Astyanax mexicanus: one gene and its partner. The protein of the gene in region 2 binds, or shares a complex with, the protein of the main gene of each other region. Links are inferred from orthologs where the notes say so. Each region holds a gene or a part of one and is shown on either strand. Other genes may lie near its edges.

Region 1 (8,024 bases), on a different chromosome or scaffold from region 2:
TAATATTTGATTAACCTTTCCAGAAAGGGGTGAGAGGAAGAGACGGAGAAAGTAAATGAGTTTATTTGACATATAATATTGAATAAACTAAGCAGAACTACTGCTTAGAGGATGGGAGTTCAGCTGTGTTTGAGCCTGTCATAACAGCAAACATGTTAAAACACAGGCATGGTGAATGTCATAGCATTTCTCTTTCTTTGTTCTTACATTCGGGTGAAAAAGAAGGCAATTAAAATGAATTATGTGAATGAAATGTAATGGTTTCTGGCACGGCTGTTTTGGTGAGGTGGTACCGAGGCCGTGTTTAGGCAGATGCTCCGCACGGAGCAGCGCTCGCTCTCTGGAATGCCTTTCGTCAGCTATCAGTCAGCTACTGCGCACAAGCATTCACACTTAAACACCACAGTCCTGCACACCACAAGGCAGCGGAAGGCAGCGAGCCAAGAGTCTGACTCAGATCTCAGGTATCAAAGGTTACACCTCAGTGAAAGTTAAGTAAATGTGAGACTCAGCCAATTAATACAAGTTCAGAAAGACAGCGAAGAACAAAAACAGTTTAGTTAAATAACTACAAATAAACATCTGAGGATGAAACGATGCTCTAATATCAACACATCAACACTGCTGCATGTAGGATGGTTATAATATTACAGTCAGATTAATGGGGTCTAACTCGATTAATGACTGTGTTCTTAAAGCCAGTGAAGAACACAAACAAACACATACGCTATTTATCTGGATCAGTCTCATTTTTCTTGGTAAACAGACACTGTGTATTGTGGGGAGGCCTGCTTGTTTCTACCTTTAACTTCTATTACTTTTGTACTTCATTATTGTAAGTCGCTTTGGACAAAAGCATCTGCCAAATGTAATGTAATGTAATGAAATGTAATGTTCATTAAGTGTATAAGGCCATTATACACTGTTAAAGTATACTTTCCTTGAGTAACTGTTTTTTATCAATATGTTTACTTAACAAAAAGATAAATACTTTAATTAATAAAGGTGTTAGTTAACAAATGTGAATATGTTATATAATAAACACAAGGTATGCATATTTATAAAAACGGTGAAGGACAGCATTACTTTGTACAAGCACATCAAGGTCATTAATTACCTCATATATTAATTCTCAATTTGTAATGGTTGGAAGATAACATAAAAGTGACGAATTGTCCCAAACTGCATAAATTAAAAATAATCTTTTCAGATGGAACATAAGAATAGAGTTATTTTATCCACATTGAGGAATTAGGTGGTTTTAGTGTTTTTTTTGTCTCATTCCTTAATTTTTTTAATTCATTCTAAAATGTCTAGTTGTGCTCCGGTGATCCGGTATAACGCTGCTTTAGTCCGGTGGAGGAGTGGGTGGAGGGGAGAAATGATAGGATTTCGGCTCTTGCTCATGAATATTCACACATGCAAACATATCGCCTCTGATTGACTAACAGCACTGCAACACCAGGAGGCAGCGAGATGAACAACAGTTAGAAATGTTTTAAAATAAAGACATTTTTTACACTAATAACAGTCTTTGCAGTGTCATATGTTACTGTCATATATGATTAGTATATGCAGTTCAGCCACTGACCGAGTCTTAGAATCTCTGTAAAACAGCGTTTCTCAACCTTTTTTCTATCACGGCACCCTTTAAATATATGCGAGATGTCAAGGCACCCCAGTTTACGGACGGGGGGGGAGGTGCTGGCGCAGTACTTCAGGTGAGAACGAGGGGTGTTGCTGGCGGAATATGAAATAAAATAGCGCGTGCATCGCGTGGGGGGACAAAAACTTTACAGTGTGTCCCAATTTAGGGGCTGCATCCTTCAGAGGCTGTATTCGAAGACAGATTGCGTCACAGCTGCGCAGTAATACACCGCCTCTGTGGGTCGCATCCTTCAGAGTATGCTGCCTGTGAATTGGGACACACCCCGACACGAGCTGACTCTGGAAAGGAAATATGCACGTGAAGCGCAATATTTTGACGGCACCCCCGATGAAGCCAGGCGGCACCCTGGTTGAGAAACACTGCTGTAAAACACCAAATCCACTGAAGATCCTATTTAAACCTATAGTTACACACCTTTTTTACTTTTAACTAGTGTAAACAGAATTTTACAGAACAATTATATAACCCCTCTTGACAGTGTGGGGGAGCCCCTAAAAATGCTTTAACGTCCTAGCACAACTCTAAAATGTTGCTCTACAAGGGCCTGGTGTCCTCTTAAGAGGCCATTATACTGTCACTTAGTGGTGGCAAAAGAATTTTACACATTACAGTATGATTTTCTTCAGAAATTTAAATAAACAGTAAATACAGTAAAAGTTTATGCTATTTACTTTATGTCTTTGTTTTGAAGTTGAATCTTCAAATGAGCCAAATTTCTACTTATATTTTGCACTCAGGCACAAAATAAATGTTTTGCACATCATTACTAACTACAAACTTCATTGTGTTCTATAGAAATATAAAACTAAAGTCCTCATATGTGGACATACAGAAACTATATTATGTAAAAAGACATTTCTTTGTTTTTACACTAATAAAGTGCCAATTAGCCCAAATAGCAAAGAGAAATAAAAAAAAATGCATGCCATGCAAGAGTTTCTTTCAAGAAAAGGTTTTTGGAAGAAAATTGTTGATGGTTCCTTGAAGACCCCAATGGATTCTTCTACACAGTCCCTCTATTCTCTCTCATTTACTAAAATTCATATTTCTAAAACAAAAGAAATCAAAGTGTTGAAACAATAGGAAAATTCTAAGACTACACATTGTCTCTTGACTGCATTTACTTTTCCTCTACGTATCGACTGAAAAACTGTACTATACTGTACTTGTGTTGTAACATGCTGTACATCTTACACGCTGTACACACTTCCACCCTCTCTAATGTAATGGGTAGTTTTTCTGATGCATGTTCTCCCGTTACCTGTTGCAGGTCCCTGGCTCTGGGGCAGCAGTACTCATCCCTGGGCTCCCAGCCCATCCTCTGCGGATCCATTCCTGGCCTGGTTCCCAAGCAGCTGCGCTTCTGCCGCAACTACATCGAGATCATGCCCAGCGTGGCCGAGGGCGTCAAACTGGGCATCCAGGAGTGCCAGCATCAGTTCCGTGGCCGCAGATGGAACTGCACCACCATAAAGGACAACCTGGCCATCTTCGGTCCTGTGCTGGACAAAGGTAAAATACATTAAATACAGAATGTCAATCACTTTTCTGCTATGTGTTTGCTTTGGAATATTACTTTGAAGGTGTGCTCAGGTAGCTAATGGCTTTATCAGCTCTTGAGATACAATCAGAACAGAATACACTTACGGAAACACTGGTTTTAGAATAATTAATAATTAATAATAATATAATGAATAAAATGCATCATTTAGAATGGTTGTTCCCCAAGAACCCACCACTAATACAGAAGATGCTGAGGGTTTAACACATGGTTTAGAGCAGGCCTGTCCCAATGACTACTATTTTATGTCAGTTACTTTATAACAATAAAGTCAATATCAAAAAATTAGAATATCCTTAATATAGTTACTTTATTTTAGTAATTCAGTCCAAAATCTGAAACTCTCATACAGCTCTGGAAAAAATTAGGAAACCACTTCAGTTTCTGAATCAGTTTCTCTGATTTTGCTATTTATAGGTTTATATTTGAGTAAAATGAACATTGTTGTTTTATTCTATAAACTACAGACAACATTTCTCCCAAATTCCAAATAAAAATATTGTCATTTAGAGCATTTATTTACAGAAAATGAGAAATGGCCGAAATAACAAAAAATGATGCAGAGCTTTCAGACCTGCAAATAAAACAAGTTCATATTCATAAAGTTCAGAAATCAATATTTGGTGGAATAACCCTGGTTTTTAATCACAGTTTTCATGCATCTTGGCATCATGTTCTCCTCCACCAGTCTTACACACTGCTTTTGGATAACTTTGTCTTTACTCCTGGTGCAAAAATTCAAGCAGTTCAGATTGTTTTAAAGGCTTTTGATCATACATCTTCCTCTTGATTATATTTTTTTCCAGAGCTGTATTATATAGATGTATTAAACACAGAGTGATCTATTTTTAGCGGTTATTTTAGTTAATCGTTGATGATTATGGCTTAAGGCCAATGAAAACCCAAAAATCAGTGCCTCAGAAAATTGGAATATTAAATAAGACCAAATGGTACTTTTGGCAGTGTGGGCAGTGTGCCAAGTCCTGCTGGAAAATGAAATCGCATTTTTCCCATATTGTGCAGCCCTACTAAAAAAAACGTACCGAAAACATAACAAAAATGTACCGAACCCTTGGGTTCATAATGAGGTTACACCCCTTAGTATATCACAGACAAAAGCAACCAAAAATTGTGCAGACGTAACGGATATCTGCTGAAAAAACTCCACCGCCATGCTTTAATAACACTCACAGTGTGAAATTGGCGATTATGTTTATTCCTCTGCCTTTATTCCTGCATTTCTTTTAAACAAAAGACAGTGAAGAAGACAATGGGTGATCTAAATGAGCAGAAACTCTGCTGAGCGACAGATAGTGGAGGTGGCCTATCTCCTTATCTCCTTATCTCCCTCTGCGGCAGATCCCCAGATCCCCGAGGGTGAAGATGAGCAGCCCCTGATGGAGAGCAGCGCTAGCCTGGCCGCGAGTGTTAGTGTTAGTGAGTGAATGAGAGAGAGAAAAAGAGAGAGAGAGAGAGAGAGAGAGAGAGAGATGGGGAGGCCAAATGAGATTACAAGCAATAGAAAAGGGCTGAGATGGGGGGTGTTGGGGGGTTCCGCTCAACCCCTACTGTGCGTGAAGGCCAGTATGAGCCATCTCTGTGTGCCTCTTACAGCCCGGCTCCCACGAACGCCCCATTCACACGCCCTTTTGACTGTGTCATGAAAACGGGCTGAAAGGGAATCTCCCAACCTTCCCCATCAGGAAGGGGGTGCAGTGATGGGCAGAGGAGAGAGGTTGGCCATGGTGAAGAGGGGGAGAGGTCAGAGAGAGAGAGAGAGAGTGAAGGAGAGAGAGAGGAAGATACAGGGAAGCCAGTGGTTTTCAATATATTGAGGGTTTATTTAAGAAACAATCCAACCCGGGGTGAGAAGGAAAAAGAAAGGCTCCAGGGTTCATGGTTGGTGTGTGCATGTCGCTGCTGGGATAAATGGGGGGGTGCTCCTGTTGGGAATGCCAGGCCGGCTCTGGGCAGAGCTAAGCTGGGCTGTGGGGGTGTGGGGGTGCCGGGCCCTTTTGTGCGGGTAATACAGTGTGACACCAGAGAGACAAAGGCGGATTCATGGGCCCAGCAGGTAGCGGGAGCAGCGCTCCGTTTGGCTCGGGGCCAGAGCTCCTGGGGCCCTCAGCTCACAGCACTCTGTTGTAGTCAACCCAGCTGGGCCTGCCAGAACCAACCGGGCCTCATTCTGGCCTCCCACCCTGAGAGGTGTGTGCCCAAACACACAAACATCAGGAGAAAAGAGCAGTGAAGCGGTGTGTGTGTGTTGTGTCCCCTTAGAATAAAACAACAACAGAACATACATACAAAACGTAAAACACACATTAAGAGTAGGGGTGGGTATCGTCACTGATTTCCCAGTTCGATTCGATTCTGATTCACAAGTAGGCTTGTCACTAGTGCTGTGTGATATGATGATAAATATCATGGGGACCCTATCGTTTCTACAGTAATTTCATCAATTATTGATGCAAATATATAAAGTAGGCTACAATAAAAATCTATTGGCATGGTCACTTTGCATGAACTCGGTTTATATAAGTGATAATAAAGTAATCTTCGCTTAAATTAAAAAAGCTTCATAATGTGATTTTGCAGCATGACGCTGCTGTACGTTATTTGATTCAAAATCGATTAATTTAGGTACATTTCTGTTACAATAAAAACTGTACTTTAAATATGAAATGTTGTAATTATACAAGAAACACAATTAGTGTTTATTTTATATCGACTTATATAAACACAACAGTTTTTATTTCAATTATTCTTTTAATATAATTTAATGTAGCTTAGTTAATTGCGACACCGTGCTTCACGTCTCTATACAGGTTTGTTATGTCCACTTTACTCAAATGTTTATGTGTGGGTAAAATATGATCCAGAACATTAATGAGGCTTTGAAAGCCTTCGTTTTTAACAATACTATACATATATACTGACATTTTAGTTATAGAAAACAGAAATATAACATGTTTCATAAATTTCTGTAAAAGTGTGAAATTTACCCAGACCCACTAGTTCAGATTTGATACAACAATAAGCAAAGTTTAGTGCACCGGCCGCATGTAAGGCTAGTAAACCCGGCTAAAGGGGGATTAGCTTCCCCGGTGATTTGGCTAACCCACTAAGCTAACAGTAGATTCAGCCAGTCAGGTCTTACTTTAAAATAGAGTACAGGCTGAAACAACACTGGAAAACAACTTAAAACAGTGTTAAATGTACTAGTTTGATAAACACAAGGTAGCATTAAGTGGAAATACAGAAGAAAATTACTTACATTTTTACAGAAACTCTCCGCAGGTAAGATTTATGACCAGAGAAACTTATAAAAATCTATTAACATTAATGTATCTTAATAACATAACGACAGCGCTGTGGAGTTGTGATTATTAGGAATACTGTAAAATATGTGTACTTATTGTGGTGGTTTATTATAACGGCGACAAGTTCTCAAATTAATTCAGGCTTTATGTAAAACATAAAACAAGACAAGAAAAGCTGAGCACCTTAAGAATTTTCAGAAGAAAAAAAAACTAAATTTTTTAAAAAAGTGTTGAAATGAATGACTCAGCAGTTCCTTCCCAGTATGACAGCATGATGAGGAGGAAAAAAAATCACCTGACGACATCCTGAGTCACACTCCCAGCCAGGTTAATAAACCTGACCTCTCACCTCACCTTTCACCTTTTAGGATAGGTAATATTACACAGACTAGAGGTGCCAAAAATGTGGCCAAAAATATTTGTTAAAAATTGTTTAGGGGAATAAAAATTTACTGCGCTTTTTAAATAAATATGTCTAACAAATCTTTGAGATGGCACTTAGTTTAGCTAACATATACAGCTTTGGAAAAAAAGAGACCACATTAGTTTTATTCTATAAACTACAGACAACATTTCTCCCAAATTCCAAATAAAAATATTGTAATTTAGAGCATTTATTTACAGAAAATGAGAAATGGCTGAAATAACAAAAAAGATGCAGAACTTTCAGACCTCAAATAATGCAAAGAAAACAAGTTCATATTCATAAAGTTCAGAAGTTCAGAAATAAATCAATATTTGGTGGAATTACCCTGATGGTTTTTAATCACAGTTTTTTTCATGCATCTTGGCATCATGTTCTCCTCCACCAGTCTTACACACTGCTTTTGGATAACTTTATGCTGCTTTACTACTGGTGCTGCTTTTGTAATGTTTTGTAATGTTTTCTTAAACAATCAAAAATCAAAACTACAATCAAAAATTATAGTACCATGTAGGAGATGTACCATATCGTATCGTACGCAATAGTATAACCAAATATTCTGACATGATATAACTCCTTATAGTGATATCACAATATACTTGAAAGCTATTTAATATATTTACATGTAATTGTATGTTTGCCGTTTAGATGCCCCAGGGAATACAGATGAAAATAAGCTTTTTAGCTAACTCTGGCACATTTACATTGATGTTGAAACGGAAATGTTTATCAAAATAGGAGATGCTGCACTATACATTTTTATTGTTACACTGATTTGGTGAGTTAATATTTACAAACTAATCATTTATAAACTTGCAGTAGTACATTCTTTAAATTATTATTATTGTTTTAAATACCATGTTTTGTCATACCAACATAAATATCATTATCGCAAAAATACCCTGAAATATTGTGACACATTTTAGGGCCTTATTGCCCATCCCTAGTAAAAATTCTAACTTTTTTCAATGGATTTTAAGTATGTAAAGTTGTAAAATGAATGACTCAGCAGTTCCTCCCCAGAATGACAACATCCACCTGAGTCAC
Region 2 (7,096 bases):
ATGTATTTACGTACTACGGTGTCACAGGTGCAGTAGCTGTGATTGGTCCACATGTACCTGCCTACACATTCAAATGTTTGCGGTTTAAACACACAAGCATAAACGCACACAGCGGTTTAGGCCTCATGCACAGGCTACACTATAGATAACATGCTGACTCGACACATAGGTATCCTTCCTAAACCATCCTTTAGGGTTCCTCCCCTTTGACGACCTGGAAAAACATCCTGCTAACGGCAACCATGCACTTCCATTTCAAACTCAAACTTTCCTTTTAGTTTTGATGCAGTTTTATATATATTTTGAGGAAAATAGCAGGTGCCATTTATTTTTGTCTACCCGTATGTTAGTTATGGTAGTTTTGGGTTTGTGTAATTTTTGATTCCCTTGTTCTCAAGTATAGTTTCCCAAATTGTGTAAAAATTGTGTCATCCTGGTTTAAGAAATCTGAATGTGGGAAAGAGACCCCTGGGCTTTATAATCAAAAAAGCTAAAAAAAAAACAACATGCTGAACTATAAACCATCCTTTAGGCTTCCTCTAATTTAATGACCTGGAAAAGCATCCTGCTCAAATCAATCCAGCACTTCCATTTCACAATGTGATCCATTTTAATTTTGTTGCAGTTTTCATATATGTTTAGAGCAAAAGTAGGTGGTAAGTCAAATCTAACAGGGAGTTGTGTTAGTTTTGCGTATTTTTAATTCCTTTGATCTCAGGTTTAATAGAGTGGTGTAATTTTGGCATATGCTCACTCCTTGAAATTTTATTTTCCATGTTGTGTCAACAAAATCATCCTGGTTATAAAATATGTATAGTGTACAGTGTTCAGTGTTTGGTCTAGGGAGAGAGGGTGGTGCCCAACCCTCCTTCTGGATACTGTATCTCTCACCTTGCGTACTTGTTCTTTCCCAACCCTGATCAAACATACACACACACACACACACACCTGACCCACCCATCTAGATGGGAGGAGAAAGCAGATCTTACACTAATGTTTGAATGGCTTCTGAACTCCCTCCTGAACACCCCCTCACCCAACCGTAGGAGGTTCTGAAACAGATGAGGAGAACTGGTGGTGGAGAGCTAGCTAAGATGTTTCTTTTGTATGTATTTAGAAGATATATCTTACAGTTATTTAACTTGTTTTACAGTTATTTATCTTGTTATCTAGTTAGCTAGGTAACTGAGGTCGGACAGAAGTTCAAAAAGCGTAAACTATTCCCTTATCAAACACAGATCTCTGTTAACAGGACTTAACCCAGAAATTAAACCACCTGTAAAAGCTTATTATCATCTATATAGCTAGTTAACTAACTAACTAGGTTAGAAATATCAGTTAGAAAGCTGCTCCTGAAGAACAGAAGTTCAGAAACAAGAAACTATTCATTTAATCCTTAAACAAAAATCTAATACCAGTGACACAGTATAGCTAATTAATCACTAATCCACTTCTCCTATATAACTGCAGTAATATTATCTATGTTTAAGGATTAAAGGAATTGTTTCTTCTTTCTGAACTTCTGTTCTTCAGGAACAGCCTTTTAACATATTTTCTTACCTAGTTAGTTAGTAAACTAGCTATATAGGTAAAAAAAAATGGGCTATTACAGGTGGTTTAACTTCTGTTTTAGGTCCTGTAAACAGAGATCTGTGTTTGATTATAGGAATAATGTGCTATTTCTAAACTTCAGATCTTCAGGAACAGCCTTCAAGTAGATTTTTCCAACCAAGTTAGTTAGTTAGTAAACTAGCAATATAGGTGAAAATAAACTTTTACAGGTGGTTTACTTCTGGGTTAACTCCTGCTAGAGGTCTGTGTTTAAGGAATACATTAATAATTTCCAATTTCTGAACTTCTGTTCTTCAGGATTAGCATTCTAACTGATGTTTCTAGTAATATAGTATGGCTAATTGATCACTAATCCACTTTTCCTATAAAACTACAGTTATAGCTACACTTCTCTTAACTCCTGCTAGAGATCTGTGTTTAAGGATTATAGAAATAGTTTCTTATTTCTGAACTTCTGTTCTTCAGGAACAGCCTTCTACCAGTAACTGTTATATAGGACAAATGGATTAGTGATTAATTAGCTATACTGTATTATTAAGTTAGTTAGGTAAGTAGGGTATGTTAACTGAAACTCTGATAACCAGGAAGATCTCTAGCAGGAGTTAAGAGAAGTGTAGCTATAACTGTAGTTACATAGGTGAAGTGGATTAGTGATTAATTAGCTATACTGTATTATACTGTATTATTGAGTTAGTTAGGTAAGTAGGGTAGTAGGGGTGGGCGATATGGCTCTAAAATAATATCATGATATTTCAGGGTATTTTTGCGATAACGTTATACTTGGCGATATAGGAAAACTAAAATAATCCATTCATTTCAGGAATATAGTATAATAGTATAACAGAATAATCATAATGTGGCAAAATTATACAATAAATACACCTAAAGCTTCACAGTAAATAATAATAGACTACTTTTAATTACGATATGGATTTTTAATATCACGATATTTCTGTGTCACGATATATTGTATACGATATAATATTGCCCACTCCTATAGGGTAGGTTAACTGAAACTCTGGTAACTAGGAAGTGTGTTTAGCTAGTTAGCTATCCAGGCTAAACACCGCTAAGCTAGTTAGTAAACCTATCTATAAACATAAAGCTACATGTTTGAGGACCCACACACACTTATCCAGGTATCCAGCCTGCTCACCTTCTCCTCCGCGTAGCTGCTGGGCTTCTTGTGGTGGTGCTTCTGGTTCTTCACCCAGCCGTTCCTCCCCACTTTCAGCCCGTTCGCCGCGCCGTGCCCCGGACCGCCGTTCGCCTCCCTGATCGCTGAGCTCTCCGTCATGCTTGTCTTCGACCCAAAGCGCATGCGATCACATACATGAAGCGCGTGCGGGAAGCGGGGGCGATGGTGGGCGATAGGTAGAGCGGTAACCGGGCAATAACACGATCTGCCCTCCCAGAGAAACCCCCAACAGCCCAACAACCACCACCACAGCGACCAGGAACCTGAAATTCCACCCGCTGCATACCGGAAATCAACGCCCATGGAAACCACACCCAGCCAATCGCTGAGCTCCGTTTAGCATAGTGGGCGTTGTAAAGCGTTTGACGCAACCTCAACCAATGGCCACGATCTGTTTTTAATAGGGGGCGTGACTCCCGTGGCCTTCTGGTTTCAGTCATACCAGAGTCATAAGTTCCATTATAATACATTGTATATCCAAAGGTGAATCTTTCATTGCCCACATTAAAAGTGAACGATTGTAATTTACTTTACATTAAGTGTAATAATACGACTATCATTACATTACATTACATTACATTTACATTTGGCAGACGCTTTTGTCCAAAGCGACTTACAATAGTGAAGTACAAAAGTAATAGAAGTTAAAAGGTAAAAAACATCTTTAGATAGGGCCTTAAGGAAGTCAAAGGGAATAATGGGATAGAGGAGTAGAGGAGAAACGAAACGAGGTTAGAAGTACATTATCAATGATGGTTTGAGACAAAATATTTACTGTAAATATAATATAAATTCTTTAAAATAACTTCCTAATACATATGATAAAAATATGAAATTATATATAGCTCACTTCAGATTTGCCAAATGGCCCATATCTCCTAAAGTGAAAGATTTTTTAAAATAATAAATAACCTGTAGCCCCTTTTCTTAAGAGAAGATTTAAATTTGAAGTTGATTTATGTGACTTTTGTCAGAAGTCAGAAGATGAATCTCTGAAACATTTGTTTGTTTTTTTTATGTCAATATTCACAGATTTTTTTTTTGGACGGACATTAGAAATTGGATTAATATCAAACTCAGCTTCCCTTCTTTTGATGTAGGTGATATTTTATTTATACTTATTTTTATATAGTATTTAAAAATATATATTTATTCATTTATTTATTAATAAAAATACATTTATCAACAAAATTAATATACATTAAATTCAGCAGGTAACATCCAGCTAAGATCCACTGTCTTGACAAAGGGCGTTGCACAAACTTTTACAATTTTTGTTATACATATTTTATGATGTATAGCTTAAATTCCATGTTAAACTCATATTTAAAATAAAATAAATATAACTGAATGAATGATCTCTTGGGTTGCCTCTGTCGTTACCACCAATAGGAGCCCTATATTTTGCAGAAAGGGCGTGGCCGAACCGGCACGACATTCCTGAGCCAATGAAAGCGCTACTTTTGAACGCTGGGCGTTTCTACAGAGTTTCAGTCCAGTGAGATGAACTCTAGTAACCCCCAGGTAGAAATGTGCGGCGTTTCCTCTCCAGGCTTAACTGAAGCCTGAAGCAAAGGGACATGTGATCTTCCTACAGACTCAGGTGTGTCTGAAATCCTCAGGGTGGTAGATTAGATCTCCAGGTCCAGAAATAAACACTTAGCCCTGTCCTATTAGTCCTAAAGCTAAAGAAATACACGCTTTAAAAAATACAACAGTACAGCAGTATACCCTGTCAATTACTTACTACATAAAAGATTTACATATCAGACAGGCTCATGCAGTTTCTGTGATGGAGAGACTGAAGAGTCTATTGAACATGTATTTGTTAAATTAAATTACAGTTGTGTTAAATTACAGTAATTTATTTATTTATAAATAACTTACTAAGTTATTTATTTATTTATTTATTTATTTATTTACTTTGATCTGATATTCATTACTGGATTTCAGAAAAAAATTAATGACAAACCAAATTGTACTTACAATGACATACTTTTTATCATATGGGCTGAAATAAAAACTACAAACATTTCAGATTTAGTTAATCTATTTATTATTTTGGGTAAATGTCATATTCTGCATATTCTTTACCTGTTTATACATGATTTTGCATGCTTTTCAAGTCACTATAATATGTTAAGAAAATTAAAAGCAAAACAAAAAAATAAATATTTGAAAAGCACAGTCCCTGCTTTTAATTTGAATTTTAACTGTGTGAAACTTGACTTGTACTGCCTTCATATTGCCTTTTATTTTATTTTCTTTTATTAGTTTTATTTTGTTGATGCATGCAGCTTCTCACAATCTCGTTTTTTTTGTATGTACACTTATGCTCCATTTCTTGTTTTGAATATTGCCATATTCATTGAATAATAATAATAACTATAATAAAAATAATAAAAAAGGCATAAACACTAAGGTAGTCATGGAAGTTGTGTATAATGTTATCATCAAACAACAGAATCATCATCAAAAAACTGTGTATGTTAGGCCTCAAATAAATAAATAAAGATTTTTCATTCTTTTGACTAAATTTAGAGGGAGCTCTCATAATTTCGCTGATAAATCATATTTTATGAAATTAATCACTTCATATTTTCAGGTGCATGCATTTGTCCACCCTGTCATGCCAAGCTGCATGACAGGATGGACAATTTCAGCAAAAATGTTTTTTTTTGACAAAAATGTGGTTGGTCTATAGGTGCAGACATGTGGAATTGTCAAATGATTTTAATGTATTGTACCGCAACAGGGTGAGCAGCTTAAAGTGACAGTCAGTAAGTTATTACTTTAAATGAACACATTATTGCAAATATTGTTCACATTTTATACAGTTTTCTTTGATGTCAGGGTGTTTTTTTACAATGTCCACAGTATGTTGGCTGGTTTAACAACACATTTCTTATTAAATAAAGTTTAAAAATAAATATTTCCTCAAAAATTAGATTAAAATGATATTTGGCATATTAATTTTTTTTATGAATTAAATTTTTGTCCACAAATTCTCTGTTTACCCTATTATCTTGGGAACCTCTAACATCAGTGACTTCACAACTTTTAATACTGTTTTATACAGTTTTCATACCCTATCACTAGTGATGCCACAACACAAGGAGGGAGAAGCCTAGCACATGCCTCCTCCGACACATGTGAAGTCAGACTCCGCCTCTTTTCGAGCTAGTGCTGCGAGTAGCATCACAGCAGCTTTCGGAGGAAAGTGCAGCGACTCGGTTCTGATACATCAGCTCACAGACGCAGCCTTGTGCTGATCCACGTCACCCTAGGAGTGATGAGGGGAAAGAGCACATCTACTGTACCCACCCAGAGAGAGCAAGGCCAATTGTGCTCTCTCAGGGCTACAGTAGCTGATGGCAAGCTGCATGAACAGGATTTAAACTGGTGACATAATGTTTTATTTTAAAGGCACTTACGACACTTGCTGCTGCATGTTCAGAAATTAACAATATTAATTTAACTTAATATTTCTCTTATTGTCTCTATACTTAGCTTAAAGAGGTAAAGCTTAAGTTTTACCCTATAGTGGAAGAGAGAGAAGGAAAGGAGGGGGGAAGGAAATGAGTTTAGAAGCAGTTAGTTTGTTAGGGGTGTTAAGTGAGTACAGGATGCTGGATGAGATGATCACCACCCCACATCACACACCCCTGCAAATCCATAATTCATCCCATTCAAAAGTATTGGATGGAGCTCCATCATTCCAGAGATCACAGTTTCAGTTCTCCACAGCTTAATGCTGGGGCTTCATACCCCTCTAGCCCATACCTGGCATTAGGCATGGTGCCAATAGATTAATATTTCTCTGCTCCAGACAGTCCTATACTATTATACACTGGCACTTCTTTACTTCTTTTGCACAAGCTGTGTATGTTTACTTGCACATCTGTGTCAACAGCAATGGGCCCAGCTTATTAAATTAAATGCATTCATTAGAAGGGGTGTCTGTAAACTTTTGGACATACAGTATAATATATGATACAGTAACCTGCTTCTGTTAATCTGCCAGGCAACACGGCACACTGGCCATGTTTGAACAGCGCTGCAGGATTCTGTGTTTGCATTTGTTTAATTTGCTAAAATGGGAAAATCAACATGGTCCACATTAAAATTCATAAGATCTCAGTACATACACCCTGTATGCCCAATTACTTGTAGACACTAAATCTACTGTAGAACTAATGAATGTTACATTCAGCCACTTTAAATTGCACCCATTGCTGACACAGATGTGCAAATGCAAACACACATCTTGTCTATTAGCCCCTGTGAAGAAGTGCTTCCAATAGAATAGGACCTTCTGGAACAGAT

Evidence for each region. The genes of interacting proteins can lie anywhere in the genome.
Region 1: the proteins of sptlc2a (region 2) and ormdl3 are in contact, whole or in part, in a cryo-EM structure (PDB 7K0O), measured with the Homo sapiens proteins. The link is inferred for Astyanax mexicanus from reciprocal best matches to the Homo sapiens genes SPTLC2 and ORMDL3. Residues at the interface, in NP_004854.1 of Homo sapiens: Glu65, Thr66, Pro67, Met68, Ala71, Val72, Tyr75, Tyr86, Gln116, Phe118, Glu119, Asn120, Phe121, Tyr122, Tyr127, Trp134, Asp259, Glu260, Leu261, Asn262, Val267, Arg271, Ile279, Met320, Val495, Val496, Gly497, Phe498, Pro499, Ala500; in NP_001307730.1 of Homo sapiens: Met1, Asn2, Val3, Gly4, Thr5, Ala6, His7, Ser8, Pro12, Val16, Ser19, Arg20, Gly21, Ile22, Leu24, Ser25, Leu28, Phe63, Val67, Lys68, Gly69, Thr70, Pro71, Phe72, Glu73, Pro75, Gln77, Arg81.

The regions. Positions count from the first base shown.
Region 1 is NC_064422.1:44,020,867-44,028,890, reverse strand, and holds the start of ormdl3 (ORM1-like protein 3), read right to left. Parts: upstream 2,940-8,024; 5' UTR 2,931-2,939; intron 1-2,930. Other genes in the region: wnt3 (proto-oncogene Wnt-3), read left to right, coding at 2,940-3,181. UniProt on the Homo sapiens protein: Plays an essential role in the homeostatic regulation of sphingolipid de novo biosynthesis by modulating the activity of the serine palmitoyltransferase (SPT) in response to ceramide levels.
Region 2 is NC_064421.1:6,544,195-6,551,290, forward strand, and holds the start of sptlc2a (serine palmitoyltransferase 2), read right to left. Parts: upstream 3,040-7,096; 5' UTR 2,894-3,039; coding exon 2,729-2,893; intron 1-2,728. UniProt on the Homo sapiens protein: Component of the serine palmitoyltransferase multisubunit enzyme (SPT) that catalyzes the initial and rate-limiting step in sphingolipid biosynthesis by condensing L-serine and activated acyl-CoA (most commonly palmitoyl-CoA) to form long-chain bases.